Rattus norvegicus: one gene and its partner. The protein of the gene in region 2 purifies or fractionates together with the protein of the main gene of each other region. This does not show direct contact. Links are inferred from orthologs where the notes say so. Each region holds a gene or a part of one and is shown on either strand. Other genes may lie near its edges. The genes, in order: Cdc45 and Topbp1.

Region 1 (3,815 bases), on a different chromosome or scaffold from region 2:
GATGGCTCTACTGTACTTAGTCTGAACCTCAAAGCATTAATACAAAATGTGGCACAGACCAGCTGTTTAAGCCTTCTGTGATCTGCTCTTTCCACAAGGCTTCAGACTCTGAGATCCTCAAAGAAGGATCTCTTCAAAAGAAATCAGTCAGCAATTGCTATTAGAGACGAAAATTGTATTGTCTTAGGGGTCTTGATCCATTTGTGTCTCTATAAGAAAATATCCGAGACTGGGTACCTTATAGATAAAAGTTATATTCAAGAACATGGTGCAAACATCTGCTCTACTCAGTAAGACCCCTGTAGTGAGTGGTTTCCCCATAGAGGAAGTGTATAGGATAGTGAGGAAATTTCCATGGGAAGACAGGAACATCAGAGCAAGCCAATGAAGTTTTATAGCCGGGTGGCACAAGGAAGAAGCTCGACACACTTCTGAGAGATGCTGTTATTCCATCAGTAAGGAGAGAGCCCTGATGACCTAACACTTGCCAGGCTCCACTTCTTAATGGTTCTACCCCCTCAATACCCTACACAGGCAGCAAGCTTCAGGTGTGGTGGACCATTTGGGGGATAAACCATTATGACATCCAACCAGAACAACACATTCATATTCTCTATCAAAAGCCAACTGGTAGAACTTTTTCTTTTTTTTAATGTATAGCATAAGAAAGAAATGTTGGGGGGGGGGCAGAGAGATGACTCAGTGAACCTGGGTTCAATTCCTAGTACCCACATGGCAGCTTCTAACTGTCTATAACCCCAGTTCCATGGGATCTGACACCCTCATGATTTAATAATGCCATGCGGGACAGCTCTCGTGCCTTACTGGACTGTGCGAAGCAGCCTGAGCTCTGCTGTCGTGTGCACGGGAAACTTGGGAGCAGCTGGTTAAGAAAAAGTGAGATTCTACAGAACCAATATGATGAATGGTTTTCTGGAAAGGAGAGAAGAAAAACTGCATTGGTTTTTTTTTTTTTTTGTTTTAAGATTTATTTATTTATTATATATAAGTACACTGTAGCTGTCTTCAGATAAATCAGAAGAGGGCATCGGATCTCTTTACAGATGGTTGTGAGCCACCATGTGGTTGCTGGGAATTGAACTCATGACCTCTGGAAGAGCAGTCGGGTGCTCTTAACCGCTGAGCCATCTCTCCAGCCCCTGCATTGGTTTTTTTGTTTGTTTGTTTGTTTTATAATAGATCAAATTGCTTATTAAACAAGAGGATGACCTCGAAGTTCCTGCCTATGATGACATCTTTAGAGATGAAGCAGAGGATGAAGAAGATCTTTCAGAAAATGACGATGGTGGGGCAGAGCCTTCAGAGAAGCGCTTACGGTTAGAAGGGTTAGAAGAGGTGAGTGGGTCAGGTGGGTATCCTGAAGGAAGCAAAAGTAGGACAGGTGTGTGACAGCCAGCTGTGGCATTCCAGGTGTGTGTGAGCCAGCTGTGGCATTCCAGGTGTGTGTGAGCCAGCTGTGGCATTCCAGGTGTGTGTGAGCCAGCTGTGGCATTCCAGGCCTGTGCTCAACTGGGCACGCCAAGCAGAGGGAAATGGAGGAGTTAGTGCACATTAGAACAGACTCTGGCTTCTACCCACTAGCATTGTGGCCTCTGGAGTTTTCTGGAGTTATTTGAACTATGGTTTATCTCCACAGGAGGATCCTGGCAAAGGGAATGAAATTTAGGTCAGTTTAGCTCGATGTAAGATTAACTAGCAAATGTTCAAAAAAGAAAAACTCATCTGGTGGCACACGCCTTCGATCCCAGCACTCTAGAGGGAGAGGCAGGCAGACTTCTGAGTTCAAGGCCAGTTTGGTCTACAGATCACTAATCCCAGGACAGCCAGGGGTACACAGAGAAACCCTGTGGCAGTGGGAGCAGGCAGGGGCAGACCCACCATGGAGAAACATTAAACCTCCACTTTCCCACAGTATCGCTCATTGTAGTTAACAGAAAGGTACCATGTGTGGCTGATCCCTTGGCCAGTCCTACAGAAACACTGTAAGGAAGGCGTGTGTGTGTGTGTGTGTGTGTGTGTGATCTGAATTTGATCAATAGAAGGGATCTGCCCAACATGAGCTTCTGCTAGCACAAGGGAGGCAGGCGGGTAGATGGTGGCTGTCCTCTAGTGGGGCTGTATTCTTACCTGTTATTGCTACTCTTTTATTTGCTTTAGTGCTCACAGGTTTGAGTCTATTCTGTGTGAGCTTCCTTTAACTTTTTATGGGGATTTTTGGTTTTGGTTCGTTTGTTCTTTTTGAGACAGGGTCTCACTGTGTAGCTCTGGCCAGACTGATATGGCAGCTTTGGTTGGGGACTTTGTTCTCCTTCTGTTGGTTTATCCCGATTGGCAGCTTCTTGGGTTTCAAGTCTAGGTAAGCCAAGAAAGGAACGCAGGCTATATACAGGTCTTTAACTGTTGTGCCTTTGCTCTTAGCGTTTGCAATATTGCTTAGCTTCATATATGTAAGAGTCGCAGTATGTCCAGCCAACATTGGGATATCTTAGCACCATCTTCCTGAAGGAAGTCTTGTGGTCATAGACTGTAGAATCACCACAGCACCCATGCCTTTGTACCTAAGAAGTTAAAACCATTGCTGGCACACCCAAGAGGAAGAAACACAGCTCTTGTTTTCCTGGTGGCAGACAGGGACTTTAGATGCTAGATGGGCAAAGTGGCCAGACGCTGGGCGTACAAGGAGCACATGCCAGGAAAGCCTGTGCTCCTCTCTATCTGGGTGGTGTCCGCCAAGTTCTGGAGCCAGATGAACCAGTCTTCCCCTGCCTCAGCTATTCAGCTTCCCAGGTACAGGCTGAACTTGGAGAATAGACAAAGCCTACATTCTCCCTCAGAGATCTGTGCCTAGGGGCTTCTTCCAAACCAGCCCTTCGCCAGGCTTACCCTTTTTGTCTTAGATTCTTTTCTATTGTGACAAAACAGCGCGACAAAGACAACTTATAAAAGAAAACATTTAATTTAGAGCTCGTGGCAGGGAGCACGAAGGACAGCGGGTAGACATAGCCCTGGCACAATAGCTAAGAGCTTACTACCCCCTTAACTGTAAGTAGGAAGCAGACGGAGCTTCAGAAACCTCCAAGCCCACCCCCAGTGACACACCTCCTAATCCTTCCCAAATAGTTCATCAACTGGGAGCCAAGTACTCAGACACTTGAGCACACGGAGGCCATCCTCACTAACCACCACGCTTTTCTTCCGTTTGTCACTGTTTCAGGAGATAGTGGAGCGAAACAGGAAGAGGAGGCAGCGCAGGGAGTGGGAGGCCCGGAGGTGAGTCTGGTGAGGTGGCTCTGTGGTACAGGAGCCCAGACTTTGTCCATCAGCGTCTTACCCATAATCCTTTCTGAATGCCACAGTCCCGTAGCTAGGAGTCTTGGGGTCAGCCACTTTGCAGAGAGTGCGTGGCTGTTGCCTCGAAGACCGTCTTGAATCACCCCATGTATTGGTCCTTGGCTTCCTAGAACTATAGGACAGGCCCAGTAGTCACCCAAATCCAGGCTCTTCCGTTAGAACGAGGCCTTTACCAGACTTGCTTTTCAAATGTGGATGCTTTCATTTATAATCTTCTTTAAAGTAAAATAACAGATACCTGGTGATTGCATAAAACTTTTCATGGAAAGAAATATGAAAAGTAATTAAGTTATCCATAATTCCTACTACTGCGTGTGCAAAAAAAAACCATGAGGTGCTTTGAAATGAAAATGCTAGAGTGGTTGTTCTCGCTTGAAATACACAGGTAGCTGTGTGTTTGAAACTGGACACAGTAGGAGTTGCTTGCTAACGGTCTTTGTGGT
Region 2 (3,815 bases):
TAATTATGAATGCATTAAAAATATTTTCAAGTATTTTACTTGTTTATGTGTTCAGACACGGGTGCCCAAGGAGCCCAGAAAGAATTGCTACAGGTCAAGGTCATCCCCTTGATCTGTAGTCACAGGCAGTTATGAGCATGTGTGTGCTGGGAACTAAACTTGGATCCTTTAGAGAGGAGCAAGCATTCTTTAACTATACTCTCTCTAGTCCCTTAAAAATATTTAAAATATTTTTACATTTATTTGTGTGTGTGTGTGTGTGTGTGTGTGTGTGTACATATGTGACACAGTGAGTTTATGTGGAGGTTAACAGGAGCTAGCTCTCTTCTTCCTCCTTGTGGAGCTACACAGTGAGACCTTGTCTTAAAAACAAACCAACTAACCAAGAGAGCCTTTTAGTCGCAAATGACTTGGCACGGAGTAAGATTCTATAATCTAAAACACAACCTGCTCTGTTAGGGAAAAGCCACTTTTCTCAGAATTCAACATTACCTCAAGGAAAACACAGAGTAAGACAAATGAAGTCAGCAGGCACCAGAACTCTACCGTACAGTTAGAGATCTGTCTTCTAGTAGGAAAATGCTATTGGTGGATCCAACACTTGGTAAACTGACATAAAAGACACCAAGTTTAAAGCCCACTTTGGCTACACAGCAATACAGAACGAGGGTGAAAGGTGGTCCAGAGGGGGAGGGGTGGTCTAATTCCAGCAGTTGGCAGGTTAAAGCAGGAGAACTGGGAGTTTAGAGCTAACACTAGTTACACAGTATTGCAGGCCAGACTACGATAAAACCTTGCCTCAAAAATATAAAGACAGAGAAAATACAGTTATATCTCCGAGCTGAAGTTATACTGCACTCAGAACTGTGGTCATCTTTCCTAAAACACAGATTTTAAAAAGTACATACAATTTAAATAAGAAATAAAAAGGAAGGAAAGGACGGCTGGAGACCTAGGTTCATATGTCCAATCCCTAGGAGCCGCTAGGGGTGAAAGGAGCTGACATCACAGGTCATCCTTTGACCTTGACATGGGTACTGTGGCATGCATGTCTCCATGAGCACACAGCACACACTCAAACACACGATAATCCTAAGTCACATACTTCAGTCAGAACTGCGCAGTGGCCTAAGCGAGAGAGAACACAGAAGACAACTGAGCAGCAACACACAAACCCAGAAGGCAGCGGGATAAAGCACGCTGCGTAGTTAAATAAAGCACCGGCATAAACTCCTTAATAGTCCAACTTCTGCTTCATTTTAAAATAAAAAAATAAAAATTAAAGTCCTGTGTGGTGGTACAAACCTTTCAGTCCTAGCACTTGGGAGGCAGAGGCGGATAGATCTCTGAGTTCAAGGCCAGCCTGAGGGGAAAAAAAGCCTAACCCGAACCCCAAGTCACCAGGGGTTTTCATCCAAGTGAGCCGCCACCACACGAACCTGAGCGCCTCCAAGACTCGGCTTCGTCCACTCCGAGCAGAGCGAGTGCTGTCAGGAGTTGAAGAGGCGCTGTTACAACTACTTCTTGACATGCAAGTCTTCTGGGCTGGTGTCCTCACGATGGAGGTTGCTGACATGATCTCTTGTAGTTGTTTCTGGAAGTTCTCTCTCATCTCCAAGGCCTGGGTCAGAGCTTGAAAGACAGTCAGTCGTCAATAACAATCAAGAGAAGTGTGTCCCCTCCTCTCCTTCTTCTCCCTCCCCCTGGCTGGATTTTGAAGATAGGATCTGAGTGTGGGGTTAGGCTGATCTCCCTCCCCATTGTGATCCCTGCCACAGTCTCTAGAGTTCTGGGATTTCAGACATGCATTACCATACAGTTACAAACGTCTCTTGTCAATCATATCTTAACTATTTTGTCTAGATCTGGTTAAATAAAAACAAAGTTGCCATTTACTGAATATTTATATAGGAATGCAAGGCTAAAATGTCACAAAACACAAAGGCAATCCTGAGGACTGTATCTGAAATACTGAAGACTGCCTTGGCTCAGTCCCTCTGAGTAGTGCCCTGCTTGCTTCTGATCCCTTCTCATTGATGCATACTACAAAGAGTCATATAGTCATTTGTATGTACCTGATTTTTTTCAATAGCTCTGAGGTTTATTTGCTTTGGGGGATGGGTCTTGCCATAGCTCAGACTGGTCTTGAAGGCCGGCTCCTCCTGCCTCAGCATCAAGAATAGGATTAGTGCTGTAAAGCACTGCCCAAGCTTTCACTAATCCCTCTTTGTCTTTCCTTTCCACTACAGACTAGACATTCAAGTAGATACCAAGTAGGAATGTTTGACACGAACAGAATGGAACAGGTAAGTGAGAAAGCAAGTTCTAATAGGCAGGCTGAATAAGGAAGCCAGAGAGTAACCTGTCAGAAGAGAACCCACACATCTAAATAAGGTAATCAGTGCAGCGCTATCTGTATTAGTAAGAAATTCAAAATAACTTGCTAATGCAAGAAACAGCAAAATAAAGCACAAGCCACACACTAAACCACCAAACAAAACCCAAGACTGAAGCAGCTCCCGATTCCCAGACATGGTCTATGGCTTCGGTGCACACCCTCCTGTGTGTGGAGTGCTGTCAACTCCTAAGAGATGAGGCCTAGCCTAAGGTAGCTGGGTCATGAGGAACACTGCCTGCCCCAGAAGCAATTAGTGCAGTTTTCAGGGGCCTCAGGCTGGTTTTGTTGTAGGTTGCTCCGCTGGTCTACCCTGCTTGCAGTCTTTCTTGTGATGACACTCACCCACTTGCACTCTTTCCCTTCCTGATAAACTCTCCTGACATACCAGAAGGTCTTCATCAGAGTCCAAGCAAGCTTAGACTTTCATTTTCTAAAGCTGTTAGAGCTAAAAACGTACCCTTTATCTAGGTTACCCCAGGTGTAGTTCTACAGCAACAGAAAACACTGAAACATTGCTCTTTTTTAGAAAAAAAAAGAAAAGAAAAGAAAAGGCTGTGAACCATGTATTAACAACTGTCCAAGTCTTCCAAATGATTCTGTTGGTCGGTCGCCTGTAGCCAGTGACCACTGATGTTGCTACTGTGTGCCCCACACCTACACAAGTGGCACACCTGACTGGCTGCTCCCCATCTCTTTCCTTCCTACGACTTCCTCAACCCCCAAGAAACAACAGTACTAAAACTAGCTTAATTAACATCCAGTGGCTTAAGTGCCAGGCGAAAAGAGTCACACTCCTCTCTTTAGCTCTAAATGACCAAGGTGAGTGAAAAAGGGATGTATGAAAGCCAAGTTAGGTCAAAGGCTATGCCTCTTATGCTGAACAGTCAAGCTGTGAATGCAAAGAGAAAATTCTCAGAAGAAATTCACAGTGCTACTCCAGCGAGCACACAGCTTCTCATGGACACGAGGCTGCAACTGACTGCCCTAAGCAGATGACTCAGACCGGAAGAAGATGCCTCTCCAGGGCTATTGGAGAAGTCGGTGTCTGGCTTCAAAGCTAGACGGCCAACCCAGTTCTTCTATTAGCGGCAAAATGCACGTGGGACTTCAAGTCAAAACCAACAAGTGGAAAGTGCGTTTGGCTTGTGGTGCAGGTCTTTAATCCAGCACTTGGAAGAAAGAGGACGGTGATCTCTGGGTTTGAAGCCAGCCTGGTCTAGAGTCAGCTCCAGAAGCACTCAGAGAAGCCTTGTCTTTGGAGGGCGTGGCATGGGCATGAGGGGTAAACAAGTGCCTCTCACCTCCTTTGCAGTCGTCCCTTCCATTCCCATTCAGCAGAGCGGACTCTCTGCTGTGTGTGCCCAAAGTCTCTGTTGCATTTTCTTCTACAGACAGGTGATCTGGCTATTCAAAGAGA

Evidence for each region.
Region 1: the proteins of Topbp1 (region 2) and Cdc45 purify together in Homo sapiens (affinity purification with western blotting; 3 studies listed by BioGRID and IntAct, with this or other methods). This does not show direct contact. The link is inferred for Rattus norvegicus from reciprocal best matches to the Homo sapiens genes TOPBP1 and CDC45.

What each region holds. Positions count from the first base shown.
Region 1 is NC_086029.1:95,692,998-95,696,812, forward strand, and holds part of Cdc45 (cell division control protein 45 homolog), read left to right. Parts: intron 1-1,200; coding exon 1,201-1,356; intron 1,357-3,235; coding exon 3,236-3,291; intron 3,292-3,815. UniProt on the Homo sapiens protein: Required for initiation of chromosomal DNA replication. Core component of CDC45-MCM-GINS (CMG) helicase, the molecular machine that unwinds template DNA during replication, and around which the replisome is built.
Region 2 is NC_086026.1:112,794,071-112,797,885, reverse strand, and holds part of Topbp1 (DNA topoisomerase 2-binding protein 1), read right to left. Parts: intron 3,803-3,815; coding exon 3,700-3,802; intron 2,163-3,699; coding exon of another isoform or gene 2,086-2,162; exon of another isoform or gene 2,076-2,085; intron 1,633-2,075; coding exon 1,440-1,632; intron 1-1,439. UniProt on the Homo sapiens protein: Scaffold protein that acts as a key protein-protein adapter in DNA replication and DNA repair. Composed of multiple BRCT domains, which specifically recognize and bind phosphorylated proteins, bringing proteins together into functional combinations.